Linked DNA regions of Astyanax mexicanus. The protein of the gene in region 4 purifies or fractionates together with the protein of the main gene of each other region. This does not show direct contact. Links are inferred from orthologs where the notes say so. Each region holds a gene or a part of one and is shown on either strand. Other genes may lie near its edges. The genes, in order: polr2j, rpap1, gpn1 and polr2m.

Evidence for each region.
Region 1: the proteins of polr2m (region 4) and polr2j purify together in Homo sapiens (affinity purification with mass spectrometry; 3 studies listed by BioGRID and IntAct, counting the BioPlex papers as one, with this or other methods). This does not show direct contact. The link is inferred for Astyanax mexicanus from reciprocal best matches to the Homo sapiens genes POLR2M and POLR2J.
Region 2: the proteins of polr2m (region 4) and rpap1 purify together in Homo sapiens (affinity purification with mass spectrometry; 3 studies listed by BioGRID and IntAct, counting the BioPlex papers as one, with this or other methods). This does not show direct contact. The link is inferred for Astyanax mexicanus from reciprocal best matches to the Homo sapiens genes POLR2M and RPAP1.
Region 3: the proteins of polr2m (region 4) and gpn1 purify together in Homo sapiens (affinity purification with mass spectrometry; 3 studies listed by BioGRID and IntAct, counting the BioPlex papers as one, with this or other methods). This does not show direct contact. The link is inferred for Astyanax mexicanus from reciprocal best matches to the Homo sapiens genes POLR2M and GPN1.

Annotation. Positions count from the first base shown.
Region 1 is NC_064408.1:29,548,782-29,557,321, reverse strand, and holds the start of polr2j (DNA-directed RNA polymerase II subunit RPB11-a), read right to left. Parts: upstream 3,370-8,540; 5' UTR 3,295-3,369; coding exon 3,242-3,294; intron 1,907-3,241; coding exon 1,817-1,906; intron 502-1,816; coding exon 327-501; intron 1-326. UniProt on the Homo sapiens protein: Core component of RNA polymerase II (Pol II), a DNA-dependent RNA polymerase which synthesizes mRNA precursors and many functional non-coding RNAs using the four ribonucleoside triphosphates as substrates.
Region 2 is NC_064421.1:48,617,954-48,626,527, reverse strand, and holds the start of rpap1 (RNA polymerase II-associated protein 1), read right to left. Parts: upstream 3,190-8,574; 5' UTR 3,081-3,189; intron 1,827-3,080; 5' UTR 1,804-1,826; coding exon 1,617-1,803; intron 694-1,616; coding exon 527-693; intron 443-526; coding exon 350-442; intron 1-349. Other genes in the region: si:dkey-13p1.4 (transmembrane protein 151B), read left to right, coding at 4,314-4,418, 7,234-8,574. UniProt on the Homo sapiens protein: Forms an interface between the RNA polymerase II enzyme and chaperone/scaffolding protein, suggesting that it is required to connect RNA polymerase II to regulators of protein complex formation.
Region 3 is NC_064421.1:731,051-738,608, reverse strand, and holds the start of gpn1 (GPN-loop GTPase 1), read right to left. Parts: upstream 3,486-7,558; 5' UTR 3,452-3,485; coding exon 3,275-3,451; intron 2,025-3,274; coding exon 1,931-2,024; intron 930-1,930; coding exon 890-929; intron 1-889. UniProt on the Homo sapiens protein: Small GTPase required for proper nuclear import of RNA polymerase II (RNAPII). May act at an RNAP assembly step prior to nuclear import.
Region 4 is NC_064430.1:31,677,487-31,685,055, forward strand, and holds the start of polr2m (protein GRINL1A), read right to left. Parts: upstream 3,456-7,569; 5' UTR 3,248-3,455; coding exon 3,159-3,247; intron 898-3,158; coding exon 427-897; intron 1-426. Other genes in the region: myzap (myocardial zonula adherens protein), read right to left, coding at 4,983-5,352.

The DNA.
Region 1 (8,540 bases), on a different chromosome or scaffold from region 4:
AGATTACGCTTGAATGACATGTTCAGTTTGTCTGCCCACACTCAGACACGTCTATATTTAAAGTTTCCCCTGACAACTGGACATTTATTTGTTGTAGTTGTCCTTAACTATATTCATTAATTATAGTGATATTTATACTGATGCTTCTGTGGACTTCATATCATCCAGCAACAGTAGAGCCAATAATTAGAACTGGCTGTTCTTTGCAATCATCATACCAAATGAACACCTGTGAACATTATTTGATTCTGTCAAACAGTATAAATATTTTTAGGTTTAAGACTCTGATACAGATGCAGATACTTATTCACCAGTGGTAAACTTACCCTAAACCTTTCTTCCAACAGTGACAACTCACTGATGAGGTCAGTGATAGCATTTGTGAAAGCTTCCTGAGGACTGTAATCTGGTGTTGTCTGCACACGGATCACAATCTTGTGCTCCAGTGGATGGGGCACTTTATACCCAGCAAACAGCACCTGAGGGTCCTTCAGTAGCTGTCTGTTAAACAGAAGGAAAACAGAAATATAATGCATTAAAAAAAAAAAAAAAAACAGAACAGAAACAAAATTGGTAATTAGGACATCTAGACACAGTGTGTATACACTAGGGTTGCAACGGTATGAGATTTTCACGGTATGATAACCGTCTCAGAAAATACCGCGGTATCACGGTTATCACGGTATCACAGTTTGTTACATATATTATTAAACTGACCCTTAAAGAAATTACAATAAAGGTTTTTGTTCAATTAACTATTTATTGTAGAAACCTGGAACAACTATATAGATAATGTCTCCTTAAAAAAAATAAACTGTACACCATTAGGTAAAGGAAACCAGGTTTTTCCACTACTCTTAAGGTCATTAAGGGTGTATATAATTATATATATATATATATATATATACACACACACACACACACACACACACAAACACAGGTGTCACACATTACATGTCCTCTAAGAAGTAAAGATCCTGTGTTTAAACTATTCAGTACAATTATTTAAGTTTAAATTATTTAATATCTGATAAACTGAGCCTGGGTCAGTGTCTGATCAACAACTGTTGTAAACGTCCGTTTTACTGCCAAGTTGGTATATAACCAGATAGAGGGGATTTATTTCTGAGTCTGGTTTTAACACATGAAAAACAGGCACGTCAGAATTTGAAAATTAACGCATGTAAATGAATGGCGTCTTTCACATCCAGTCCGGCGAGCACCTTTACACGGACACGTGAATCCGTCGTAGCACGCACTTCACGCCTGTACCTGCGTGCCCAAATTTCGGATAACTCAGCGCTTTTGCGGGCGCTTACCGCATGGGTTGTGCACGACTACAAAGAGATTTTATTTATGTTCAGATTAAAATTATAAACTAAACACATACTTTGCGCTGCACGGCGGGGTGGTGTTCTTGGAGATGGGAGAACAGGTTTGACGTATGTCCACCTTTAGCTGTGACTTTACGGCCACATTGATTATAAATCGGAAAACCATCCTCGGGTGCGTTCGGCGGGTCTCTGAAATAGTCCCACACTGCTGATTTTAGTTTAGCCTTTTTTTAGGCGGATGGAGATTTGTTTAGTCTGATGCACTTTCTGCCGTTCTCACCGCTGTGTGCTGAGCAGCTGAAGCGGAGCAGAGTTGCGCATGCGCGGGTGAGTTTCTCCGCTGGCTTGCGTTTTACCGGTAATAAGCAAACACACACGGTATGATAACCGTGCATTTTAATACCATGGTATACCGTGAAACCGGTTACCGCTGCAACCCTAGTATACACACCAAATCTTTAGGACAATAAAGTGATTCTTACGATCTGATGATGTTGCCCAGTGTATGGTCTTCTTTGTTCAATGTAAACAAACAGGCATTTGGCACCTTGGTATCCTTTGTAATTGTAATCCTTTAATAAAAAAAATATTACAATACTTACAGGTCAAATCATATAAAACAACAGGAAAGATAAAATAAATATATACATGAACTAGAAACAAGTGATGTACAATTTAAAAATATATACCGTACAAGTAAAACATCTGAACACACCTCTTTTTATTAATGCGTTTTATTCCTTTTCATGACTTTCACATTGTAAATGTTAATATTAAAGACATTAAAATAAACAGGAACACATGCAAAATGATTTTGTATTTATTCACATTTAGCTTTGATGACAGATTTTGCACACACTATGTGTCTTCATGAGGTAGAGTCACCTGTAATAGTTTTCTCAGCATCTTGAAGGAGTTTCTAAGGATGCTGAACAATAGTTGCTGCTTTTCCTTCAGTTCATCCCAAACCACCCATCTCAGTTGAATCTCGCAGTAAATGTGTAAGGAGTGGAGTAATAAAGTAATGCTGCAAGCACTAAATTAGCCTACAGTTAGTGCACAATAGAAATGAGTTAACTGAAGTTTCACTACATTGTGTGTAAACTGGTTGTGAAGAAGGAGAAAATAATTGATTTATTTCCTGTGTGTGATGAATGTATGTATGTATGTATACACAGCTCTAGGAAAAAAAAATAAAGAGACCACTTAAAATGATGAGTTTCTTTGATTTTACCAAATTGAAAACCTCTGGAATATAATCAAGAGGAAGATGGATGATCACAAGCCATCAAACCAAACTGAACTGCTTGATTTTTTGCACTTTTTTTTGAGGACTGGAATAAAGTTATCCAAAAGCAGACTGTTGGAGGGGAACATGCCATTATGCATAAAAACTGTAATTAAAAACCAGGCTTATTGCACCATATATTCGTTTCTGAACTCTTTAACACTTAATAATATGGACGTGTTTACTTTGCATTATTTGAGTTTTAAGAGCTCGGAAACGTTTTTTGTTATTTCAGCCATTTCTCATTGTCTGCAATAAATACTGTAAATGACAATATTTTAATTTGGAATTTGGAAGAAATGGTGGCCGTAGTTTATAGAAAAAAACAACAATGTTGATTTTACTCATATAACTTACTTATTAATATTAAAAATTGAGAAACTTAGGGGAAAAACAGGAAACATATCAGACTAAGTTCATTTACACCACAAAAATGGGGGCAATTCAGTTAAACTCAAAGATGTTTCACAAAATACCCTTTTCCCCAGATGCTAACCTAGCTATCTGGCTCTTCAGCTAACTATAACCTAGATAGGGAAAGTAAGGCCCGGTAACGTGGTAAGTAGCATTAGCTAAAGAGGATAGGCAGTCTTACACTACACAGGTCTCATAAACTTACTTTTTCTCCCCCTCAAACAACAGAAACGACTCGAAGGCCGGCGGAGCGTTCATCTTCCCTGTGAGTGAGAGCTAAGTGCTAATCTCTTAGCCGCGCTTTGGGTTCACACATCCTGCGCAACGTGATATGGGTAACGCCCTTCAAAATAAAAGGTTATATAGAATAAATATAGCATTAAACAAATAATTTCACTGAAGTGAACAAAGAACATACTTCTAATACATATTAATGTTATTTATTCATGTATTTATTATTACATGTATTGTATATTTTTATCATCACTGGAACAAAATTCAGGTCTAAAATGGTTAGACCTGCAGAGGACAGTGAAGCTTTTTTTTATTAGTCAATCGATTAAAATGAAAAATCCAATTAATCACAATAGAATTCTGCAATTAATCATGATAAATCACAATTTTTCTTCCTTAAGACTAAGCTTTTGATAATAGGTATTTAAATATGAATACAAAATCAGTGTCAGAAACACTTATTGGTGCCAATACCTTTATAATAATTGTATTAATTATTAATTAACTGGATTTTAGGGAAGGGGACAGTAATAATAATTATGTTGGTGGTGGAGTACACTTTACTGTATTATAATATATGCGGGTAGTTTTGGTGTTTTTAAAACTAGAATATTGTAAATTTCTGTAAAGTTCTATTGTAAGCTTTATTTTATGTTTAAACTTAATAAAACATAAAATAAAAAATCTACACAGATTTCTCTCCTGAAAACTGTTTACTGCGGCGCAGTAAACTCCCAGACCAATCACGGAATGGCATACTACTATACTGCGTACTGCATACTGCACTAGTATGTACTGCATACTACACACTGCCCAGTATGTAGTATTCGGTAATGTAACACTTTTGATTGTAGTACCCTACGCGGTCCTGCTGTGACACACCAGTCAGTGCTCTGTAGTGCTCTGAATTCCTCAGAGTGAGTTACAGAAACAACATGAAAAATGTCCTACCTTTTCATTATTAAAACTAATGAGATCTGCATACTGTCCAGAACAGCAATTGCTGCTTTTACTTTAGAGTTTAATGTAAGTGCAGTTAACCCAATTCTAACAACCATTTAGCAGCAGCCCCCACAACCCAAGTATGTTCCAGTTAAATATGTTTTCCTATTTATTTTAGTAAATTGCTATTTTCATCTATGTAAATACCAACAAGAAGAACACATTTAAACAAACTCTCATTCATATTTACACAATCTCAACAATAAAAGAAATGAGACATGTTGCACAAGTGAAACAATTTTATTAATTTGTATTCAAATCATTCCCTTATTTCAAAGAAAAATATGTATTAAAACTGAGGGAATTATTTATTAAATCAACAGAACGATTTATTAAGAAGGGAATTATTTATTAAATTAACAGAACGATTTATTGGAATTATTTATTTAAGTAACAAATGTATTAAACCTGAGGGAATTATTTATTAAAGTAACAAAATAATTTATTAAAACTGAGGGAATTATTTATTAAAGTAACAAAATATTAAAACTGAGGGAGTTATTTATTAAAAGAACAGAACAATCTATTGGAATTATTTATTAAATAAAGAGAACGATTTATTAAAACTAAGGTAATTATTTATTAAAGTAACAGAATAATTTATTTAAACTGAGGGAAACATTTATTAAAATAACAGAATAATTTATTAAAACTGAGGCAATTATTTATTAAAATAACAGAATAATTTATTAAAACTGAGGCAATTATTTATTAAAATAACAGAATAATTTATTAAAACTGAGGGAATTACATCAAGGCAGCACACAGCGGAGGGTCCCGGCCGCGGAAAGCGCTCGGCCGCGGCAGCGGAAGGTCCCGGCCGCGGAGAACGCGCGGCCACGGCAGCGGAGGGTCCCCGACGCCGAGAACGCGCGGCCGCGTCAGCGGAGGGTCCCGGATATAAGTGTGAAAGATATAATCAGATATGTTCAAAGTTTATTTTTGCCAAATACCAAGAGAATTAAACAAAGTTCCTGGGAGTAGTTTGACAACATACGAAAAAATGTGTGTAAAATGCAGATATTTTAAAATGGCCGACATCCTATTGGGTGGAGTCAGTCCTACCAATACTAAAAACGTATGTAATGCAGCCTCTTGTGTTTTTGCCAAGATTCATGAATTTTCAAGCATCTGTGTTCTGACCGTGTCATTGTTTCACTTTGGTTTATTGTTGCGTCTCTAGTAGATCATTTGCCCAACATTTTGTTACTGTTTCTCCGATCAATAATCCTTTTGGAATTTTTAATCAATTTAAATGAGTTCGTGAAAATTTGTAAAAATATTACAAATTCCAATATGGTCGACTTCCTGTTGGGCGGAGCTATTACAAGCAAATGGGAAATATGTGCAGGATCATAGGATCTATGTTCCTCTTAAAATTTGAAAAAAAAAAATGAAAAAATTAGAAAATTTTTGACACATCCACAGCATAAATTAGCTTTACTTTAAAAAAAGCTTTTACTTTTTCAAATTGAACCAATTAGGGGGCGCTGTAAAGTCCGCTAGCTACACATGAAAAAATTATCCATTAAAAATTAAGTCCCAGCACGCAACTGTATTACCCAGCAACACTAGTTTTAGTTGTCAAACCTCTGAAATCCACTGATTTTTCTATTCACCTCCTATAAAACATGCTGTCTGTTATGGTTCATGCTTTAAATTTGTTTTTTTGTATTTATAGCACCCTCTGCTGACCACTTTTATAATACTTGTTATTTGGATGTTTATTTGGATGTTAATTTTATCATTGGTTGTTGAGTCACATGGTTTTTGGTCACATGCTTAGAACGACCATTTTCTTTCAAACTAGTAAGAGAGGCGCATGTGTTAAGTCCTCTTGTGTATCCAGCTTCATCTTCCTGTGTAACCCTCTAAAGAAGCTTTGTTTGTAAGTAGATTTGTTCATTTAGGCTATTACTACGGTGGCTGAGAAAGCCCAACGCAGTGCAAATTGAAAAGCGCTGCAAAAGCACAAAACACATCCATCAAAATTACAACACAGGCGCAGCAAATAGAAAAACGCGCTGCAAAAAGAAAAACGCGCTGCAAATAGAAAAACGCGCTGCAAATAGAACCACAACACAACGGAAGTGAGTCACAACACAACGGAATTTTCCCGGGGGACCTTAAAAGATGCTGTACCAGCTAAGCTGCGTCTTCAGTAACGTCTCGGACTTCACTATGTGTACAAAGGACAATACGTGGCAAACAAGGCGTTTTGTGAAGCAGAACTTTTAATAATATGCACACAACCGTGGTAATCACAGGTAATAAACATTACTTACTTTTCAGAAGCTTGTTTGCCACTTAAGTTACTGTCCTTTGTATACAGCTGGTACAGCATCTTTTAAGGTCCCCCGGGAAAATTCCGTTGTGTTGTGACTCACTTCCGTTGTGTTGTGGTTCTATTTGCAGCGCGTTTTTCTATTTGCAGCGCGTTTTTCTTTTTGCAGCGCGTTTTTCTATTTGCTGCGCCTGTGTTGTAATTTTGATGGATGTGTTTTGTGCTTTTGCAGCGCTTTTCAATTTGCACTGCGTTGGGCTTTCTCGGCCACCGTATATTACTTACTATTTGTGCTTATTATTTAATTGGAACTGAAGGTATTCTTTGTGTATTTCATTTCAGTTTCACACTTTCTGTATGGAAGTACTCAGCTTCATTAAACGGACAAGATTACTTCATGCTCCTTCATCACTGAAGTTTGGTGCTTTATTCAAGTTTGCTCGAGTGTTTAGCTATCTGGTGATGTGTGCCTTGCTACGCACTCAGGTGCCAGAATACTGTCAGTGGCTGAAAGAAATATATTTTTCTTTATAATGTTACTTTAATTAAAGAGTTATGTGTCCTGAATCAGAATATAATAATAAAGTCCCAGCGCAAAACTGTATTACCCAGCAACACTAGTTTAAGTTCAGTCAAACCTCTGAAATCGACTGATTTCTACTATTCACCTCATATAAAACATGCTGTCAGTGGCTGAAAGAAATATATTTTTCTTTATAATGTTACTTTTATTAAAGAGTTATGTGTCCTGTGTCAGAATATATTGATTAAAGTGCCAGCGCAAAACTGTATTACCCAGCAACACTAGTTTTAGTTCAGTCAAACCTCTGAAATCTACAGATTTTTACTGTTCGCCTATAGTATAAAACATGCTGTCAGTGGCTTAAAGAAATATATTTTTCTTTATAATGTTACTTTTATTATAGAGTTATGTATACTGAATCAGAATATAATAATAAAGTCCCAGCTCAAAAATGTATTACCCAGCAACACTAATTTTAGTACAGTCAAACCTCTAAAATCGACTGATTTCTACTATTCGCCCCATATAAAACTTTAGGTTACTTGCGTAACCCCGGTTCTCTGATAGCATGAGTGAGGTGTCTCACTATGGGATACGCCCCTTCCGCGTATGCCTCAGAAGCTCTATTCCACTACGCCAGCCAATGAGGCTGGCTGACAGCTGTGATGCTCGTGCTCCCACCCCCCGTAGATAATACGGCGTCACCTCCTCATTCAAAAAACAGGCACATCTCTTCCTCGCTTCACACTGCAAGGAGGGTGGTCTGGTGAAACACCTCACTCATGCTATCAGAGAACCGGGGTTACGCAAGTAACCTAAAGTTCTCTTTCAAGCATTCATTTCGGTGTCTCACTATGGGATATCCTAACTCCCGTATTGTCAGACAAGCCTGCCTGAACACACTGTCAACCAGCTAACACTCAGGAGACTGAGTGTTCCCTGAGCCGGCGCTCAGCACCGCATGTGCTATAGTAGGTGCTGTTATGTCCAGTTTATTAAATCTGGTGAACGTATGAGGCGAGGACCAGCTCGCCGCTGCACACACCTCCTGAATAGAAAGGCCACTAAAGACCGCCCATGAGGTCGCTATGCCTCTTGTGGAGTGTGCCCGGATGCCAGGCGGGACTGTTTGCCCCTTACTGGTGTATGCCAAAGCGATCGCTTCTGAAATCCAGTGCAATAGTCTTTGTTTAGTAAAAGCTCTCCCTGTGTACGGCTTAGCCCAAGACACGAAAAGCTGATCACTCTTCCTAAAGCTTTTAGATTTATCCACATAGATACGCAGCGCTCCCACAGGACATTTAACCGCTGCTGGTTATGTGAGGTAAAAGGCGGTGGATAAAATGCCTGCAGCTCCAAAGGGAGACAAGGCTGAATGACTTTGGGAATAAAAGCAGGGTTTGGACACAAACATATCTTTGTATCCCCCTGTGAAAACTGCATACATGAGGAGTGCACAGA
Region 2 (8,574 bases), on a different chromosome or scaffold from region 4:
ACGTGATAGTGCTACGCTGAGGAACCCTGTGTGTTCCGGTAAGCCAGGGCGATGGTTTTTAATGGTAAAAGAGCTAGCTAGCGCATAGCACAGTTAGCTAACGCTAATGCTGCTCCCGTCTCAGTGCTGGAGAACTAAACTGAAACTCCTGTATAACTCTGTACTTCAGTGGAGTGTCTTTACTGCTCCTTAATACCTGACTGATAGAATTCATACATAAGGAGCACCGGATTATAAGATGTGCTATCGATTTTTAGGAAAATTAAAGTATTTTAATTTTAGTGCTTTAATTTATGTGATTTTAAGGTCTTTATCTCAGTGCTCTACCCGCCGTGTGCTGACTCCTCACCTGTGTCTCTGCTGTGGATCGATGCAGGACTTTGGGGAAAGCTGTGGTTGTAAAAGTGGGGAATGATACCGGGACTGAACTTGTGTCTCTCTCCTACAGAAACACAAACACACTGTTTAACAGCACAAAACTAATGAGCCAATGAGAAACAGTCTTTTTTTCTGCTGATTAACTCACAACAATCCTGGAGAGGACGGCACTGATGTGAGTGTCATGTTTATCCAGCAGCTCCTCCGGATCTTCATCCTCGAAGCGCACTCGCTCCTTTTTAAAGCGAGATTTTTTGGGAGGAGCCGGCGCTGCTGCTGAGGCTGGAGTCAGGGCGGGAAGATCATCCGGAAGATCTGAAAAATAAAGTAGTGGAACTTACTGGTAAAATGAACCACTTTGATACCATTTACTTGTAAATTTATTTGTAAATTACAACAGTTGTTTTTTATTGTGTGTGACGCGGTAAAATATAAATTACATAAATATCGGCATTACACAGCCCCAGTTCTAGACTAGAGCTAATGATACTGGCTAAAATTGATGTATGAAGTAAAGAAATAACATTTTTACTGTGTCTTCAAACTTATATGTAAAGCAAAATAATTTAAGAGTATATTTTGCTTATGCAAATTTATAAAGATTATCTAATTGTGATTAATTTCAACTAAATTAGAATTATACTGATAGAACAACTCCGTTATGTAAAGAAAAAAGTATCTAGACATATATAGGCATATATAGAGAATATAATATTTATAATAAAAAGGGGAAATATAAAGTGAGAATACAAATAGGTAGTAAATTAGTAAATTAAAATATAAAGAAAACACTTGACATCACCCTAGGAGTGATGAGGGGAAAGAGAGAGCGCCATCTACTGTACTATACCCACCCAGAGAGAACAAGAACAACTGTGCTCTCTCAGGGCTCCGGCAGCTGAAGGCAAGCTGCATGAACAGGATTCGAACCATCAATCTCCTGCTCAGAAGAAGTTTAATAGTCCTCTACTTTGTGTCAACTGACATCTCTTATATTGGAGCCATGGTTTAATTAGCAGATTTAACCTGATGGAGGTGTTTGTTTTTTTTTTTACAGATTTTCTGTCAATTACAGAGATATTCCCTAATATTTTTGCTCAGAATTAAGGAATCTAAAAACACGATTGTGACTGACAACAATAATTATATTCCTTTCTTATTATCTTAATGCCAAGAGTGGTGATTCATCATTTTTATCAGGGGGGTTGTTTGATACAGAACTGAGAGGAGGAGCTCACCTGTAATGGTCACCACATCTCTCTGGTTCTCCTGAGGTTCTCCTCCGTCTCCATCCGCTTCATCCCCTCGCCGTTTTTCGGGTCTCCTAGCTACGTTAGCCGCAGGCCGACCCCCCGAGGACAGGAACTCCTCCTGCTCCCGCAGCAGATCCGATTCCGAGTCGGAGGGCTTGGGGCGCTGTATCATCCCCTACAGCTGGATCTGAGTCTCTGACAAACAAGCAAATAATTCAGTCATTTAACAGGAAAGAGTGAGTTTTCAGTATGAAGTTTAGGAGCAAAAGAGAAAAAAGGAGCCCAGCTGATATTTTAACTTTGAGTCAATGTTGGATTTTGTGTTTAATAAACTATAATAAACCATAGCTCACATTTAGAATGCTTAAAATTGTATGGAAGAGAAAGAATTAAACTGTAGGGAAGAGTGGGGTGATTCTAGGAAACCATAAAAGAAATTTGATGAGTGATCACAGTTTTTTATAGAGTAAGCTATTTTACTCATTCTGCAAAGAAGAGAGCCTCCTTGCCAGACAAGTAAGCACACTTAACTTAAAGTTAGAGCTGTAGAGTGTTATAAAGTCATATAGTGTGTTGAGTGTTGTAGAAAAGTGGAATTTAATAATGTAAAAAAAACTTAAATTAGTGATTTTGTTTGCATTTTTTAGCTTTCTCTAGCATTACATTTTCTGAGATCAAAATACGCTGTTTTATTCAATAATTAATAACGCAATTTACCCTAATGTATACCAATGTAACTCCAAATGTACAACTTACCCCGGGGGCAAGAAAAGCCACCAAAATACTTTTTTTAGAAAGCTGTATTTCTTAAATACCCTATTTCTGATCCAACGTGATTGTTCCCAGGGATGCATAACATTCTAATATACATGCATATTTATTTTATTTTTATAGCATTTCTGTCAAGGCCTTGCTTTAAACTCCCTTTAAGTAAAGACAGGCACGACTCACCCCACTCTCCCCTATGCCCTGAAATGCAAAATATATTTATCTGTCTGAATCTACATCTCTGAGAAGTAGGAACTGAACAGTTACAAACTAAAAGCTTTAATTACTACTATTTTAGGTAGCTAAAAGTAGAAAATCCTATGTTTAACAGTGTTAATAATAAACTTAATCACTGTAGTAAATCTGAGTATAAAGAAACCAATCTGATTCAACATCTGATCTGAAAAACACAGTAAAACAGTAAAACTAATAGAACATGAGCATTCCCCCAGATATGGAGAATAACTGGTGATAAAATAAAAAACAGTTACTGCAAATAGAAGTAAAAACACTTTTTCACCCATCCATCCAACCGATTTTAGAAATTATATGTTGATTCAACGTTAATTTTTTTTAACGGTAACGTTAGTGTTTCAGCTGTGAGAGCTTGTCGGGTTATTGTACAAAAACTCAGGACGAGTCTCTCTCACAGCTGATTAAACATATAAAACACTATATTACCTCTTTTTTAGTGCAAAAACAGCGACTTTAGCTCCTCTTCAGTTCAGACAGGACTGCAGAACACTGCACACACATGCTACAGTTTACATCCGAACAACTTCCGGCTTCTGCATTTCAAAATAAAAGACCTACGTTATACATCTCTAAATGTGTTTAAGGAAACAAAATCACCCATTTCATTGTTTTTAATGTGTATTCTGCATTGTAGATTAAACCTATCAGAAATAAATGATGTTCCAGTGATGGAAAAAATATGTGAATGCTGTTTTTCTATCTGTAATGCACACAAAAAAGACACTGCTATACTAATATAAAATCAATACTGGTTTAAGTTGAATTATTGTTTTAAGCTTTTAAATAATTGGGCTGAACAGTCATTAATACAAAGGATATATATATATATATATATATATATATATATATATATATATATATATATATATATATATATATAAATATATATATATATATATATATATATATATATATATATATATATATATATATATATATATATATATATATATATATCTGATTTATCCCATTTTCCCATTTATCCCATTTATCCACCTATCATATATATATATATATATATATTTGTGTTTAGTGTTACACAAAAAAAGTACATAAACAGTTCAAATATACATGCACAATTCAATAAGGTTAATTACACGTTAATTTGCAATTGTAATTGACTATTTGGATATCTGTGTAGATATGTGTTGAAGCTATATGATTTATGTATTTATCTCTGAATTATTATCTTAATCAGTAATATCTGTTAAGTAGTTACTTCTCTCTCTCCTTCTCTCTCTTTCCCTCTCTCTCTCTCTCTCCTCTCTCTCTCTCTCTTTTTTCTTTCTCTCTTTTTCTCTATCTGTATCTCTCTCTGTCTCTCTCCATCCTTCCCTCTCTCTCTCTCTCTCTCTCTCTCTCTCTCTCTCTCTCTCTCTCCTCTCTCTCTCTCTTTTTTCTTTCTCTCTTTTTCTCTATCTGTATCTCTCTCTGTCTCTCTCCATCCTTCCCTCTCTCTCTCTCTCTCTCTCTCTCTCTCTCTCTCTCTCTCTCTCTCTCTCTCTCTCTCTCTCTCTGATGGGAATCCTCCGCAGTCTGTTCTCAGTCTGAGCGGGGTTTCCCTCCCGGTCCCTGAGGCAGGAGGCGGGAGCGGAGCGGCGGGCGGGTGATGGAGCTGATGCGGGGGTCTGAGTGAGATGTCTGAGCTGCGGATTCAGGATGTTGTCTCCAGATGTGGAAAGTGATACGACTGCGGAGGAAACGGCGCCCAGCAGCCCGAACAGCGGCGCGGACACCCCGGCCAGCCTGGATGCGCTGGAGGAGGTGAGACACATCCAGCATCTTCCAGCATCAGCATCCTCCAGCATCAGCACCAGGGTGCAGGGGAGACTGTAGACAGCCTGGGGGGCTTTTTACTATGATAAGGGGGATGATTAGTCCACTGTACTACTCTACTAAACCTCACATTTATTTTTCAGTAGTAAAGGTAATTATAGGTATATTATAACTATCCGTGCTTTATATGTAGCACTAAATACTATTAAATCTAGTCACTTTCTGACAATTCTGAACCCTTTCCTATCATATGTTCAACATTACAGCGAGTCCTGACTCCAGACCCCTCTGTTCTCTATGATAGATAACTTTAAAGCGAGCAGCTTATTGATTGTCATTGATGCTGAAGCCTATTTTAGTCCTTTGCAGCACTCTGTGTCACACAACCTCATAATGTAGACCTTCAGGAAGCTGCCAGTGAATAAAGGCTATAACCTATAATAAGCTGGCTATAAGATTTATGCTAAGATTTCAACAAAATCAATCAACCAAAAAAAAATAAACTGATTTTTTTCCAGGTTAGTTATGTTCCTGCACCCCTCCACAAAACTTGCTGATAAATTTATTTATTTATTTATCATAATATTATGGGTCTCTTTAAAGGGTTACCAAATCCCCTAATTTTAGCTGACTCCACCCTCAGCTCAAATGAGAAAAATGCTAAAAAAAAGAAAAAAAACAAAAGAAAAGGGGAAGAGTAGTTTCGGAGGAGCACTGGGTGATGTATGGGTTTAGGGGCGGGGCAGGAAGAAGAGCTGATTGGGATGAACAGTGCAGCTCTGATAGTGATGTACCACCCTTAAATGCTTTGTGTACTACAGATGGTACATATACTACAGTTTTAAAACAACTTTTCTAAAGGATTCGCTTACTTTTTCAAATTCAACATATACTGTTAGGCTGTGGAGTAAAAACAAGAGATTAGCTGCTAAATCTTAATTGCTGCCCCAGAATTGTAACAATTGTAACATGTTCTCCTCCACCAGTCTTACACACTGCTTTTGGATAACTTTATGCCTCTTTACTCCTGGTGCAAAAATTCAAGCAGTTCAGTTTGGTGGTTTGATGGTTTGTGATCATCCATCTTCCTCTTGATTATATTCCAGAGGTTTTCAATTTGGTAAAATCAAAGAAAATCATCATTTTTAAGTGCTCTTTTATTTTTTTTTCCAGAACTGCATATTTAGTCATTTCTAAGTGAGGCAAAAAGAGGAAGAATAGAAGCTTCCACTCTGAAATATTAGACTTTACACAGGGGATATATGCAGTGCGCAGTGAATATGTGCCTTGCTGACTTTTAGAGACATTAAAGCATTCTGTTTCATGTGGCATCTCCATTATTGATGCCTCACCGCCTGTCCTGCTCCCTTAAAAGCCTGTTTACCCTTATTAATATCAAAAGCGCTGTTATCTGCTGGCTAAGCTCACAGTAACCTCTGTTCTCTACTGTTGGACCTGACAAAAAGACATTACGTTGGGGTCAATTGGGGTGCAACAAACTGGAAATTGTATTCTAAATTGTAATGTCTGATATCTTCAGAATAAATATAATCTAAATGGATTAATAGAAAGATTCTGCTCCTTTAGATTACAAAAAAAGAGTCATAAAATTTGATTTACAAATGTTCAAATCTAAACAGTAGTCTGATACCAATTATTTTTAAGTGGTTAACTTCAGAGTGGCACAACTATCTAAGCGTTGGCCCAATTGACTTGATTGACAATTGATTGATAATTGACATACAGTAAAATAATTTGCAGTTAGCATGTCCATCACTTCAGTACCACTTTAAAATAAGGTTTATTATTTAAAATAAAGTTTATTAATGTTATTAATTAGGTTGGAAATACTTTATAAACCATTAATAAGCAGTTACAACACATCTATAGAAATACAACAGTGGTCTAATAGTGATTCTACATTTATACTGTTGAATCCTACTTTGTCTGTCAAAGTAATCAGACAACTAAATTAATCATTATGCAATAATCATAATGTGGTGTATATTACCATACAATAACAATAAATATCTAAATTGACTTTCTATATTATTTTATTAGATATGTTAATGCTGGATGGAAAAATACAAACAAAATATAACACGTTTTATGCATTAAAACTATTATTTAATGATTGATAAAGTATCCCTCATACATTATTTCTAAATCCTTTATAATGGTGCCTTGTTTTAAAGTGGTACCTCACTTGTACCACCGGGCAAGGCAGGCAACTTCTTGGGACCTTTTAACAGTGACTGCACTCACTCCCATTGCAAGTGACTTGCATCAAAAGTAAAACGACTAGTAGTCTTTTTGGGATAGTGTATCTTCTTCGACTTTAAACCTAGAGATGTTGCATATAAACACACAAGTATTTGCGTTGATTAAATATACTGTAACTATTTAGGTATGAATGTAAGTAATTAAGCTTAAAATTAGAGATGTGCTTAGAGCCAGTGCTTATTGCTGTGTTTTTTTAACTGTTTAACTTTTAACTGTTTGGTCATGCCTCATCAGGTCTTATCATTAAGTGGTGGAGGATATAAAAAAAGACCTCAGTCAAGGACAAAAGGCATACGTCCAGGGACTCACTGTAGGATCAATGGGCTGATGGGACCCTGAAGGGTCTCTTAACTAAAGCCATGAGGTTTATCTTTTTAGGCAATTGATTCTGTGCTTGTCTTGCAGCTCTTTGCAATTCAGAACACTTGAATCTGGGTGAGTATCTTAAAGATCTTCTGTATCCTCTCTCTCTATCTCTTTCTCTTCTTTCTTTCTTTTTTCTCTTTCTCTGTCTCCACAGCAAATGCCAGTGCAGCAGTCCCTGAGTGCATCCATGTGCCGCGAGATGCACTGGCGCTGTCTCCTCCTGTCTCTGCTGATGTACAGCTGTCTGGGTGCCGTGGCCTGGTGTCAGTTCACTCGCGTCACCAAGCTGAGTTTTGACTCCTCCAGCACCTCTTCCCTGACCTCCATCAACTCGCTCCGAGACGGAGGAGGACGCTCCATGATCTACCACGACAGCCCCTGCTCAGACGGGTACGTCTACATCCCCCTGGCCTTCCTGCTGATGCTCTACGCGGTCTACCTGATGGAGTGCTGGCACTGCCGCGCCCGCAGCGAGCTTCAGTACAAAGCCAACGTGGACAGCGTCTACGAAAGAGTCCTGCGCATGCGGCAGGCTCGACCGTGCGTCTGGTGGAAAGCCATCAGCTACCATTTCGTGCGGAGGACGCGGCAGGTCACGCGGTACCGCAATGGGGACGCCTACACCACGACACAGGTCTACCACGAGCGAGTCAACACCCACGTGGCGGAAGGAGAGTTTGATTACAGTCGCTGTGGGATGAAGGATGTCTCAAGGGACTTGCGTGGCTTGGAGAGCCACACGGCGACGAGGCTACGCTTTAGCAAGTGCTTTAGCTTTGCGGGAGCAGGACCTGAGAACGCGTACCTCAACCAAAGGGCCAGGTTCTTCTCAGAGATTGAAGGTCTGGATGACTACATGGAAGCACGGGAAGGGATGCAGCTAAAGAACGTGGACTTTAAAGAGCATCTCATCACCTATGTGGATCCTGACAGGTTACCCTGGTATACCTCGCAGTTTTCTTTCTGGTTGACTGCTCTCCTCATGCTTTCCTGGCCTCTTCGTGTTTTAATAGAGTACCGCACGGCTTTTGTGCACTACCAGGTGGAGAAACTCTTCGGACTGGAGTACACCAACAGCAGTCCTTCTCCAGAGGACGCTGCTCCCGCGAGAAACGGTCGGTGTGGCATCCCGAGAGGAGACACGGTGGACAGCACAGAGCTGGAATGGCACATTCGTTCAAACCGCCAGCTCATCCCCAGCTACTCGGAAGCGATGCTGATGAATTTGGGGAACTCTGGAACAGGTCAAGGCGACAATTCGTCTTCCAGCTGCTTCTTGCTGGACGATTACCTGACCCAGAACTATGGAACCATGGTACAAGACTGTGAGCACTGCTGCCAGCTTGAAGGAGGACGTCGAGCCACCATCAGCTCCAGCTGTTCCTCCATCTTTTCTCGCCACACCTTCCACTCGCGGGTGTCCCTGGACACCTCCCGGTTTTCCCTCTGTCGAATGTACGGCTCCAGGCACACCGTGGGGCTGTGGAGGAGCCGG
Region 3 (7,558 bases), on a different chromosome or scaffold from region 4:
ATCATTGACCTCTTTTACAAATCTGATTAAATTCTTGTACTTTTTAATGTCTCAGTTAGGGGTGTGACATAAATCGTATGCAATAAATAAATACAATTTTTATTTTGTTGCAGTAGTGTATTCTTGAAAAAAAAAAATCATTAATTTATATCGCCAAGTGTACCGTTATCGCAATGACCATGAAATATCGTGATATTATTTTAGGGCCATATCGCCCACCCCTAGTCTCAGCTGCCTCTTCCACAAGGTGTACTGATTTAAACACACATTAACAACTAGGCAACACATTTTATATCCATTATGTTGACTAATTATTGACATAATTGCCATTCAAACATAGGAATTTTCTCACTACAGGACAAAAGGAGTAAAATGTTTTATTATAGACACATTATTTTTCACATTATAGACTTTACCCAGTAATTCAGAGCTAAGAAACAAATGGTTAGAATTAGTCTATGGAGGAAAAACACCACCAGCCAAGTAAAATAGAGATAGGTAGGTGTTTAGATGTTTAAAGCAGTTGGATTTTTACTCTCTGGAGCTGGACTATCCACCTCTGTGAGTAACTATAGGTTTAAATAGGATCTCCGGTGGATTTGGTGTTTTACAGAGACTCTAAGACTAGGTCAGTGTCTGAACTGCACTAAGCAGGGCATTATTACACATGTTGTAAAGTAACATATGACATTGCAAAGACTGTTATTAGTGTAAAAATGTCTTAATTTTAAAACGTCTCGTCTCTAAAATCTTCCGAAACAACTTAAACAAAATAACGAGTAAATTAGTTTTAAGTATTAATCTATTTGCAAATATAACACATCTACATATAACATAAGAGCTCATCAGTCACGTCACAGTGAGTCGGTATGAGAGCAGTAAAGGATACTGTTTCATCACTTCTTTATAGTTGACCGTGTCTCTGATATCTGCAGATAAAACACAAAACAGTATTAATTATTAAATCTCTTTATATTTAAATTTAACACTTAAAACATTTAAAACAGACTGGAGATGCTGATGAAACTGAACACTGACTGGGGGCGGAGCTTCCAGGAGGAATCTGGAACCGAGCTTTATGGGATCTGAAGTTTTTACACTAAATGTAAACTTACTGCTCGTACAAAGCACTAGAGTACTAAAGCACTTAGAAGGGGTGATATTATACAGCTCTGTAAAAAATGAAGATTCCACTTCAGTTTCTGAATGAGTTTATCTGATTTTGCTATTTATAGGTTTATGTTTGAGTAAAATGAACATTGTTGTTTTATTCTATAAACTACAGACAACATTTCTCCCAAATTACAAATAAAAATATTCTCATTTAGAGCATTTATTTACAGAAAATGAGAAATGACTGAAATAACAAAAAAGATGCAGAACTTTCAGACCTCAAATAATGCAAAGAAAACAAGTTCATATTCACAAAGTTTTAAGAGTTCAGAAATAATCAATATTTGGTGGAATAATCCTGGTTGGTTTTTAATCACAGTTTGTTTCATGCATCTTGGCATCATGTTCTCCTCCACCAGTCTTACACACTGCTTTTGGATAACTTTATGCTGCTTTACTCCTGGTGCAAAAATTCAAGCAGTTCAGTTTGGTGGTTTGATGGTTTGTGATCATCCATCTTCCTCTTGATTATATTCCAGAGGTTTTCAATTTGGTAAAATCAAAGAAACTCATCATTTTTAAAGGGCTCTCTTTTTTTACAGGGCTGTATACTAATGTATTGCAACATTTTGTTTTGTAATACTGTATCAATTTTCAAAAACAATAGTATTGATTAGTTTAGTATTAGCTTAGATGTAAAGATTGGTGTCAGAAGTGGTTCAATAAGTTTTGCGTATAAGCTCCGCCCACTAGATAGCAGTGTTATATTCTTTCATTAGATCCAACTGTTCTGATTGGATAAAAATTTTACTTTTACCGATGTTGGCTGGAAACGGGACTTCGTGGACGGCAGGGTCGAGGTTAATAACGTACGGAGGAGAATTCTTAGAGTGGAGAAAAGCAGTGAGACGCTGTAAAATAAAAACAGAAGATAAAGAAATTATTAATATTATTATTATTATTATTATTATTATATTATATATTATACCATGCATAGGCCTGTCAAAATAATTATTGCTGTGTGGACAATATATTAATAAATATATACATAAATAATTGCGATAAACAATATTATTGTCATTTTACATCCATTTTATGCCACTAATATAATGCTATTTTAATTCTGATGAGTATTCAGACATTCAGACTGACATTAAACATTTTTTTTTATATAAGCCCCTCATAAAAAAGTCATAAATAAAATGAAATCACAGTTTTGTAAGTTTTTAAGACTTTCTGGCAATTCACATGAATGTGCTTTTCTCAATCAGATTTTTTTTTTTGTTACACTATTATAATTTTCTACAATTTTCTTGGTAAATGTACTGTTTCCAAAATAAACAAAAGTTTACAGATTTATTTTATTTCTACTAAATGAAAAAAAAACGGTAATATTTATATGAACTAAAAATATTTGTATTTATTTTGTTGCACTTATTATTGCAATTATTATTATTTTTTAAATCAAAGTTTTGTCAAATCACCAAGAATATTATTATGATAAAAAAAACTGAAATAACGTGACAATATTTAAGCGCCACCTCTATTCTGTAAATAAAATATTAAAATAAAAAGTTCATAATATTTATAATAAGACAATATATATTTTTTTATTGTTTTAACAGGCCTTGAACTAAACTCCAATATAAAACCAATACCTATCCAAAACCTCTGTTTATAAAATATCTATATTTATAGTTTTATTTAAATCTGGAAAAGTCTGCAATGACTATTTTATACTTTAAATTAGAACTTAATAAAGTAAAAAACTTGTGTGATATGTGATTTCACATATTTTGATCCAGTGTTTAAATGTTAAATAAAGTAAATAAAGAAGATAATAATAATATTAAAACACATTAATATAAAAACAGATAACATTCGGGTGTTTACATAGTTCTGAACATGTATTTAATGATTAATGTGTGTGTAATAATTAAGCTGAAGTAAATGTACAGCACTCTGTGTAAAGTTTAGAGAAGCTAAAACTGATCTATATTTTCTATTTTTGATTATTTTTAAAGCTAAACTTGGATTCTTTTCGAATTGTCCGTTCCACCTTAAATAGAGCAGTAGCAATAGAAAAACACCTTCAGGCGCCAGAATGGAACTATGGAACATTTAAGGTGGACCGGAGGAGATAGCCCTCGTGTATCTGTACCTGTACAAACGTGGTTTTCCCGGATCCAGCCATTCCCAGAACGATGAGACAGACGGGCTTCTCCCGCGGGCCGCTCTCCCCGCCCGCCCCGGCCTCCTGCTCCCCCGCGGCGGGTCTATCCTGCGGGTTTTCTCCCGGAGCTCCGTCCCCGGTAATAGAACCACCGGCAGCCGCCATGCTGTACACTACCGCAGCGCCGCGGACCACGTGACTACAGCTTTCCGCTCAGTACCGCTACTGTCCGCTAGATGGAGACAAAACCACACTTTATAAACCCGCCATAGTAAATAAATAGTAAAGTGATCAATCAGATTATAAAGAAATACATAAATAATTCATTTAGTAACTTAAAAACAGTGTTAAACAAACCTAAAACTCTTTTAACTTGTGGTTTCTGGGGCTGGTAACTTTGATAAACTTATCCTGTACATCAGAGGAAACTCTCGCTCTTCCTTGTTTTCCTGATGAGAGCCAGTTTCATCATTAATAACGTTTTGATGGTCTTTTTTGTGGTATCTGCACTTGAGGATACTTTCAAAGTTCTTGAAATTCTTCTTTTTTTAATTGACTGAACTTCATTTCCAATTTCTTAAAGTTTTTTTTCTTTACGTAGTTGAGTAGTTGTTTCTTCTCATAATCTGGATTCGAACATTACTCAAATATTCACTATTCACTGTATACCTGTAACTCTACCTCTTCACTACTTTACTTTAACTGATGCTCTCAAACACTTTATTAAGAGACAAGAAATTCAAGTAATTAACTCTTGATGAGTTCAGCACAGCTGTTAACTAAAAGACTGAATTCCAGGAGACTCTACCTCATAAAACTGACTGAGAAAATCCAGCAGAAATGTTCAAAACTCATCATCTAAACAAGAGGAGATACTTTATATATGTATATATATATATATATATACAATGTATATACAATTTAAACAAAATAAAAGCCTTTAAATAAAATCTTACTTTTAATGCATTATTTGGATAAAATATATAGGAAAAGAATTGGAAAAAGTTCTCGACAAAATATTTACAGACAAATTATGATCAGACTGTACCTGAGGTGGGAAAATGTATTTACGGAAAGGCTTAACTAATAAACTAAAAATCAGACAAAAATCAGTATTTGTAATAAAATGATTAAATGTGACCACAGGCAGGCGCTGCTGCATCAAAAGTGAATAGAAAAAATAAAAACAAAGTTAAAAACGGTGTGGCTGAATAACGTGTTATTTTTACAATAAGCAGGAACTCATTTTCAGTGATGAGTCCAGCTGCGGATACTGGAACTGCTTGATAGCTGCTGTGAAGCTGGAGACGATGAAACCGAAACTTTATGTGAAGCTCTGCTGCTCTTTATACAGCATGAATATCAGTTTAGGAGCGTAAACTGTTAAAAGCACTGTCTGATATAGATCACATTAAAACAATGACACAATAGCATATACAGACACTTTTACCTGCATGTATTTTTATACCTCTGCATAAGTTTTGCTATGGAATTCATGCACTCTAGTTTTTTAGTTCTAATTTTAGAATATTTGCAGGTAACTGACGTTATTTTAAGATGTTATTTTATACATTCTTTCTGATTCTCAGCTTCGTCATATTAATAAATAAGAACTCTGAATGTGTAACAGCAGTAGATGGGTCTGTGTAAAAGCCTCTGAGAGGAAGTGAGGCGAGAGGGAAAGCCGGGGTAATTCCAGTGTTTAGAATAGTCCACATAATTCTGGTAAATCAGCTCTGAGTGATGATGTTTCCTCAGCAGGTCCAGCTGCTTCCGTACAGGAGCTCCCAGAGCTTTGGTTCCCAGAACCAAACCTCGCCAACATCTACTGAACACTAATATACAGTCATTAAAGCAGCCGTCCTTTAGAGTTTTTTAGGTGTGCAAGGCTTGTTTTGATGCTAATTGCTATCTTACCCCCCACCAACAGTCTATTTTCATTTGAATATCAGCAGAGCTTCTGAATATATCTACACTGATGGGCGTGGTGTTCTGGAAATGAGGTGTGTTCAGGTACATTTCTGGAGTTTTATCTTGTTTATCTTGGTAACAGAAAACACAGGAGCTCCACTGACTGAATACAACCTAGACAGACGCCAACAGTCAGACGTTCATCGCTATCTCGGTAACACAGGCACTGTGCCGAGCCGAGCGTACGCCCCCACTTATTACACACACATGAACACACAGCAGCACAAACCCAACTTTTACATCAACAATAAACAGAATAGTAAATAAAATAACATTGCTGTTCCCGTAAATGAGCTGCTGGAGCTCCTTCACAGCGTCAACCAGCAGCTCAGTTTCCTCTGCTGAGAAGAGTTTGTTGAACACGTCCAGGTAGCTGCACCGTTACAATAGCAATCCACCAAAGACAGAGCTCACCTGACTCTACTCTTAAAGAGAATGATGAGCAAACAGATAACACTCTGATTGGTTTATTTATTTCACGTTACGCCCAAGGTGTACTTTTCCCGTTGTTACGATAGCAAAGACACACTTGACTGCTTGCATAAACATTGCTAACAAAGAGCCCATTGAGTATTTTTGGGGAGAGGGTCAGCAACATGCTAATTGGTTGTTATTGGCTTGTTTCTAATAAAGTGGCCAGTGAAAATACAGCATTGGAAAACACATAATTAAGTCTATAGACTTTCTTGGGAAAGTATCAAATGATTTAGACAGAAGTTAGCACTATGCTAATTGGTTGTTATTGACTTGTTAGCTGCATTAGCTTCGTAGCTAAATAAAAAACAAAAATCACATCCCGTTTAAAACTGATTTAATTTAACTTTAGAGAGAAAGCTGAACTCATTTCCAGCAGTGTGGGGTTTTAATATCTCCTGCATGTTTTTTATGTGTTTCTGTTTATAGAAGCGCAGCGTCTGCAGAACGTTCTCCAGGATGATGAGTGTTTTACAGGGAGGACGTTCTGCACCGGGGTCACTGTCCCTCATACAGATACTGCAGATAGGGAAGGAAAAGGATGAGCCCGGAGTGGAAAAACAGATTTCACATAACCCCTGTTATCTGCTGTACACTCCCCGGCCACTTTATCAGAAACCCCTCCCTCCCTGCTGTACAGTTACAGGACTACAGTGTGTGTTAGCTGTTCTTTATTCTTTACTCAGAGATCAGTTACTTTACATTATTATATTCATGTTTATTCACTGTATAATTATTTATTCACCACTGTGCACTATTTACCATCTACTATACACATTATACTCATTACCTATTAGGATTTATTCAGTATCCACTATGAATTGCTCAGTAACCACTATTAATTACTCAATACTTACTATGAATTACTCATAATCCACTTGGAATTACTCAGTACCCACTATGAATTACTTTGTATCCACCATTAACTATTCAGTGGGCACTATGAAGTCTCAGTATCCATTATGAATCACTCAGTATCCACAACAAATTAGCCAGTACAAACTATGAATTACTCCGTATCTAGTATGAATTACTCAGTACCCACTATGAATTACTCAGTACCCACTATGAATTACTTTGTATCCACCATTAACTATTCAGTGGGCACTATAAAGTCTCAGTATCCATTATGAATCACTCAGTATCCACTACAAATTAGCCAGTACAAACTATGAATTACTCAGTATCTAGTATGAATTACTCAGTACCCACTATGAATTACTCAGTACCCACTATGAATTACTTTGTATCGACCATTAACTATTCAGTGGGCACTATGAAGTCTCAGTATCCATTATGAATCACTCAGTATCCACTACAAATTAGCCAGTACAAACTATGAATTACTCAGTATCTACTATGAATTACTCAGTACCCACTATGAATTACTCAGTATCTACTATGAATTACTCAGTATCCACTTTAAATGACTCAGTATACACTATGAATTATTAGTGCCCACTATTAATTAGTCAGTATAAACTTTGAATTACTCAGTACTCACTATAAATTAGTCAGTATCCAAAAGCAATAACTCAGTATCCACTCTGAACTATCTACTACATACTATGAACTATTCAGTAACCACAGTTTAATATGTACTGTAAATTACCCAGCATCCACTATGAATTGTTCAGCACCCACTGTAAATTATTCAGTATGTACTGTGAGTTATTATTTATCATCCACTAGGAATAGTTCAGGATCTAGAATTAAATATTCAGTGTCTACTATCAATGATTTAGTCACAAACTAAATATAATTCTGTATCCACTCTGAATTATTTAATATGTGCAGTGGTGCTCAGTGCTGGTGTTTAAAGGGTTA
Region 4 (7,569 bases):
GAGATAATCCAGCCAAGATGTGCAAAACTGTCATCTAAACAAGAAGTGCTACTTTAAAGAAACTGACATATAAAACTTATTCCAGTTTGTTTAAGACTTTTTTGTTTCCTAAATAATTCCATATGTTTTTTTTTTTTTTTTCATTTTTTTAAACATTTTTAGTCTAAACATTTTTAATCTACAATGCAGAAAATGTTAAAATAAAATAAGTCACTGAATTTAAACTGTGTCCAAACGTTTGATTGGTACTGTATTTGAAAACACCAATTGCCTTTAATGGTGCAACATTTTTTTTTATTATTATAGTAAAAAAAAAATGCATTAAACTTTTAAAGTTACTGTTTTGGAGATTGTGATCACTGATGAAACAGTATCTAGCTAAAAGCTAAACTGTAAAAGTGAGAGAGAGAGAGGGTCTTTACTCACTGATTAGGTTTAAATCTGTGTTTTTGCTTATCTGCATCCGCTCTGTCCAACACTTCTATATAATGTGGTTTCTTCTGAGACTGTGTGGCACTGAAGACGTTTCTAGGTGGAGAGTTAATAACAGTGTCTCTCAGAGGACGATTCTTTTCCTCAGACAGATTGACCCGTCCAAGCGCCTCCACCAGATCTTCTGCACCGCCAGCAGGTGTGGACGCCTCCATGACGCCCTCTGTGTTTGGCTGATTCGTTCTGCCGGTTTCCAGCAAGTTTTCCTCCTCTTTAACAGTTTCTCGCTCAGCATTCCTGCGCTGAGCTAAAGCCTGCTGATACCGGACCTGAAATTCTGTTCCAATAGCGGATAGACTGGCCTGCTTCTCCTCCTCCTCTTCCAGAGCTTCCAGCGCCTGCCGCACCTTCTCCACAAAGTCTGTAATCTTCTTCCCCTTATCCGGAAGGGTCTGAACGAACCTCCTGTAGAAACCACACAAACACTATTAGTTCATTTGATAAAAACAGTGTAAAATCTCAAAATATGAACGCGTTTTTTATTAAAATTTAATTTATATCACACTTATGTTTAGCGAATACGTTAACCTTAGGTCAGGTTTACACTACATGATTTTAGCCCAGTTTTTCAGTCGCAGACAGTTTTTTGTTGATCGCAAAAACTCTGCTCAGAGGCAAATCAGGGATCTCTCGGTGCTCACACAGTTGTGTAGTATAAACTGCTGAAAGATGCTCGCTGAGGCGATGCCTGCCAAATATTTGGCACGTCAGATATCTGACCCAGTCGGTGACTGGGATTCAGAAGCAGCGGCCACATACTACCAATGGAATTACAGAGAAAGAGAGAACCACGGGTCCAAAACGCATTCCCTGCTTTACCAGAGCTGTTTATAAAGAGTCTGACCTCATACTGCCCCCACTTTTATATCAGTAAAAGAATGTTAAACTCTAGATGGAGCCCGCGAGTGAGTGCTATATAACTGGAGCTGAATGGAGCTAAGAGCTGAAAAAATTAAAAATAATAATGAACTACATGTTCATTATGTAATCATGTTGAAAGTTCTTGTGAAAAATGTGTTTGTGAAGAGCAGCCAGGTGAGTCAGCTATTTCCCACAGTGGGAAATGGTGTAATTTGTGACCCTTTCTTACATACGTTTAGCAAGTTTTCCTTTCCACCTTCAATGCAGCAGCAGTTATATAGTAAATTTTCATAAGAAATTTAAACCCTTTTTTAAAGGTCTTTTTGACCTGACATTGCGTTAAAGTGTCACAGCTGAGTGTATATTCACATTACATACACTATTGTATTATTAAATAACAATATTAATGAGATTAAAGTTAATCTCAGGTTAATTCTTCATGTAAACTAACATTTTTAATAATGGTAGGCTGTGTGTTACTTTTAAAATTACAACATTAGATCTCTAAATTTTTTAATATCGGAACAATATCTGGAAAATATGTTACATTTATATTAATATATGTTTCCTTTTATCCAATTAATAATCAATAAACCAAAATATTTCAAATGATTAAAAGATTAACAGAATATTAAACGAATCGTTAGTTATCCATAATTATTGAATCAATTGACAGGCCCCATAGAGCTCCCATAGAGCTCACATCCCAATTTATATGCTTTGCTTATATTTTATTTTGTGACTTGACATCATCACGATTAAAATCACCTGCCGGATTATTACTTATTATCAGCTGTAAAAGATACTACAGCTTGAGCTTGATAAGAGCTTCACTAAATAACAAACTCCAGCAGTCAGAGGGGATATACAGCACCAGTCAAAAGTTTGGACACACCTCTTCTTATTTTCTTTTATGATTTTTACATTGTAATTTTAGAATGGAAGACATACAATGAAGATATACAGGAACACATGCTGAATTATTCTGTAAATAAAAAGTGGTGAACAAAACAGAATCTGATTTATACTTTAGATTCTTCTAAGTGCCACATTTAACTTAAAGGACAGATCTGCTCACTCTTGGTATTTTAATTTCAGGAATAGTTTTGAATGAGTCTTGAAGGAGTTTCTGGAGGTGCTGAACAATAGCTGCTGCTTTTTCTTCACGCTGTGAAGCTCCAGCTCATCCCAATTAAATCACCTCAAATCATCATCTCAGTTCATCAGATTTAGATCAGGGGATTAATGTTGAGGAAAAACACTTATTTACTGTTTACTACATAACTCCCTTAATTGTTTTCAAGTCTTCAATATTAATCAGTTGTAAAGTTATGTAGAAGTAGAGTTATTATACGGTGAATAGCCTTATTTACGTAAAGTTCTAATCCATATTATGGCAAGAACTACTCAACTAAGTAAAGAAAAAAATACTTTCTTTTCAAGAACTTTGAAAGTATCGTCAAGTGCAGTCGAAAAGACCATCAAAAACGTTATGATTTAACTGGCTCTCATCAGGACCACCCCAGGAAAGGAAGATCAAGAGTTCCCTCTGTTGTACAGGATAAGGTAATCAGATTTACCAGCCTCATAAACCACAAGTTAACAGCTCCCCAGATAAGAGCTTCACAGAGTATTTTGGTTTGTTTAAAAACTTTTAAGTTACTACATGTTATGTGTTCCTTCCTAGTCTTGATTACTTCATTATTCATTTACAATGAAGGAAAATAATAAAAATAAAAGCACTGAATATAAGGTGTGTAAAGTGTTGACTGGTTCTGTGTATAAATATAATACAGAGTTCTGACTTGTTGAGGAGGATCTTCTCCTGTCTGCTGAGGATCTCCTGCAGCTCCTCTCTGCTGCGGCCGCTCAGCTCTCCCGCCAGGCCGGACATCTCCACCTCACCTCGCCTCACTGCGGCGGACTCAGCCTGAAACCTCCAGCGGCGGTAAGAATCATTGCAGAGCGCTGAATTCACCCGAATTAATCTAATAAATACAGAAAAACTCTATAATAAACTCTAATATTAAACTCTACAGTGAATCAGCTCAGAGCCTCACAGCTAACCCGCTCACAGCACCACCGCCACTACCTGACAGTGAAGCGTGCCACTGCTAATTCAAAATAAAAGTCCCAAACTAAACTACACTCTCTCTCCTGCTCTCTCCGAGAGAATAAATAAAACATACACACACACACACGTATATATATATTAAATAAAAGTAATGATAGTGGTATAATGTACCAATAATTTATGTAATATTAGTTTTGCTAGTAGTAATAAAACTAAAACAAAAAACCCTACTGTTTTCTTAAAAGTGTATATTAAAATAAAAGTCTCTCGCCAAACTACACGCTCACTCCTACTTTCTCTGATAATAAATAAAACACACTTAAAATCTTTTCCTAAAGAATTATTAAAGTTAAATAAAATTAAATATAAACTGCTATGTCTGCTGTGTCCTACAACTTACACACTTGCTTTCGTAATAGTGAAGCATTTTTATATATGGAAATTGTTCGAGAAAAAGGTTTTGGTTAAATTATTTACATCTATAAATATACATCAATAACTCAAACTCAAACCAAACAAAAAGGCAAAAGTTTAGACACTCCCTTTTACATTTAATGTGTTTTCTTTATTTTCTACACGTATATTTTATAGTGAAGCAATCAAAACTTAGCTTCTTCAAATTTCTTACAAATATTGAAGAATCTAAAGCATAAAACATAATTGGCTTGTTTAACACTTTGTTTTTGTTTGCTTCATAATTGCATATGCATTCTTTTAATATTAATCTACAATCTAGAAAATAATACAAATAAAAAATAAATATTAATGAGTGTGTGTCCAAACTATGATTAAAGACTTGTACTGTGTATCAATATGTAGAACATAACATATATTTAGTTTATTGGGTATCCCTTCCTACTATAAAGTTAGGTTTCTGATGTTCCGTTACCAGCTTCTGTCCTCCAGACGGCGCTGCAGTGGTTCTTTATGTGATCTATTGATGAAGATTCCTGCTCTTGTTTCCAGCAACAGAAGGTCAGAAGCTCTCACACTTTGTGCAGATAATCTCTTTATTAAAGTTGTACCCTTATAAACACACACAGTGGCAATGTGGAGGGATTTGGTCCTCGTCTCTTGCTTCTTTCTGGCAGTGAAAATGATCTGATGCCATTGGCACACTTCTAATAATCCAGCCAATTACTGACCATCACAGCGCTGTATTACACCCCACACCTCTGACTTACAGGGAGCCTGTTATAATATGAATACTACTACATTATACTACAAGATATTATTTATTATTTATTTGTGTAAGAAAGTAATTCAAAGCTGTAACCAGAACATTAGGAAACTGAAAATAAACGTATAAAACTGTAAAATACAGAGTAATACAGACTTTCCAAATTCCATACCATAAAGCCAAATATACATATTTGTAAACAAAATAACAAAAAAGAAAAAGTGCATCCACACATGCTACTAAAATAAAATTTATAAAAGTTATTCACAGATCAGGATATAATTTAATTTATGTTACAAAATGAAAAGGAAAAATATATACAAATACATATTTACTGTCTGATTCAGGGCACTGCACCCTTCACTTCACTTTAGCTTATTCTACATTCAGTTTAGCTGTGATCTCCATTAGCCTCATAAACGGCGTGTAGATCTTGGATGGGTTGGATGTGGCCCGGCTCTTGCTGGAGGAGGAGGACAGTTCTGACTCTGGGGAGGATGAGGAGGAGGATGATGATGATGATAATAAGGTCACTCCCTCATCACTGGGCCGGGCTGAATCTGAATGTGTGGTGTTTTCTGTAGGACTAGTAGCAGTGTCCCGAGTGTATGGCCCCGTGAGCATGCTGCTGTACTGTAGCGGTGTGTATCGCAGTAAACTGTAGTCCAGTCTGCTCGGGGGTCTCGGCGCTGACGGGGCGGGCCTGGACTGGACCGGAGTCTCAGAGGCCTGAGCGTCAGGCCGGCTGGGAAAAGCAGAAAGAAATTAGAAGTGCTTGTGAAGCTTTTTGTAAAGCTGTGTGATTATATAATTTAATGTATTAACATATTCATGCTCCACCCACAAATGTATGGTTAAATAGATTCATGTTTGTCTTTCTGCTCCAGAGAATTCTATTCTAATGTAAAAATGACTGTGTAAGCAATGGAACACAATTTAAAATATTTAATGTATTTATTAGAAAATACACTGATAGAAAATATTTTACCCCGTATTATAATAATTATATCTGATATGTAAATGGCTGTAGCTGTAATCTGATTATATACTAAGTCTTGCCACAAGATTAAATTGCATTAAAGTGCTTCTTACACTGCCCTATAAAAGGCTACTTTTGGATAGTGTACCTCTTGATGAGAGATTGTTGACTGCTATGCATGTGTTTATGATGCTCTCCAAGACAAGTTTTGAAGGTTAACAATTTAGTATTAACTAGCTGAAGGGGTTGAAAGAATGAGAAACTGTTGGACGCTCTGTTTTATGTTAAAGCTATTCCAAAGCACCTGTGTTGTGTTTTTAAATCAGGTGTTTGTTTGTCGACTGCACAACTGCATGTCTGCATTAAGCTACAATTTGTAAATAATAGAAATAAGGAATAATTATTACTGATCATCTGTCCAAACTTTTGACAACTTTTTAACTTTTATATATATATATATATATATATATATATATACACAAAAAATTAAATATTAAAAATACTAAACTCTGTTTAATGTTAAAGCTACAGTTGTGTTAAAAAATATTCAACCCCCACTGCAGTAGTGTTTTAGCAAGTTTAACATTTATTTTTTATCTTGTTCACAATCAGATCAAATATATCAAATATACTTATATAATAGACAAATGCAACTTAAATTACAACAGTATTTTTTTCTAATATTCCAACAAATGTCCTTTTTGTGACTTATTGTCAAAATTATTCAGCTCCTTTAGTCAGATTCAACATTAGTACTTAGTATAACTCTCTTTTGGCGGTAATAACGTCCTTCAGATGTGAAACATAGTTTGACACAAGTTTTTTGCAGTGATCTACAGGTATCCTAGCCCATTCCTCACGAGGAAAGGCCTCCAGTTCCTTTGACATTCTTGGGCAGAGGTTTTCTAAAGGATTTTAGTTGGGCGATTGCAATGGTCACTCCAGAATCCCCCAGCCCTTCTTCTACAAACAAGCAGTTCTGGCACGGGGGCCTTCCTCTCGTAGTGTGTGCCTTACGGTCTAGGCCAAAACCTGAGTACCTTCCTCTGATGTCCTGTCGCAGTTTCTCAGCTGTCAGCCAGGGGTTTTTCTCCACATTTCGTTTCAGGTACCAGAGAGCAGTTAAACTTGCAAAATATGCTTATAATTGTGTCTCTTCGTGTGTTTAATGTCTTTGCTCCCTTTTTATATCCATATCCTTGCTTATGATGAGCAATTCTCTAGATTTATTTGACCATTCCCTGGACTTCCTGATGCAATGACACCATTAACTGTCTAGATGGAGCTGAGTATCTTCTTTTAAAGTCATTTTAAATCTGTTTAAGTGCTGCTCGAAAAGTGCTGATTCTAATCACCTACCTTTCAATGCCTGATTGAAACTTCTGTTCTCAAAAAAGTGGTCATCTTTAAGAGGTTAAATAATTTTGTCAATGAGGAAATCACAAAAAGTACATTTATTCGTATATTAGAATTATTAGAATTATTAATTGGTATATTAGAAGTATATTTGTCTATTATTCAAGTCTTTATTTGATTGTGACCAAAGTAAAAAACACTTTATTGCAGTGAGGATGGAACAATTTTGAATACAACTGTACATAGAATTTGGACCGTGTATATAACACGTTTTGATCTTAATATTTTAACATGTGGCCTCAATATAATATATTGACTAAATAACTGATCTAAAACGTCTGATTAATCTTTTGTGAGTGGTTGTTTCTTTTATCTTTTTTATATGCTTAGGTTTTTATTCATTTAATTACTTATTTAATTATTTGTATGTATTAGAACTGTTTGTTGGTCCTATTAAGACCACATGATAGTTTAGTTTAAGGAACAAGATAATATATTGAGGACAGAATAATATTTGGAGGCCACAAGACAATATATTGAGGTCACAATAAAATATGTTGAAGAGATATGATAAAATATTGGGGCCACTAGATAATATATCAAACATACAAAACAATACATTAAAGC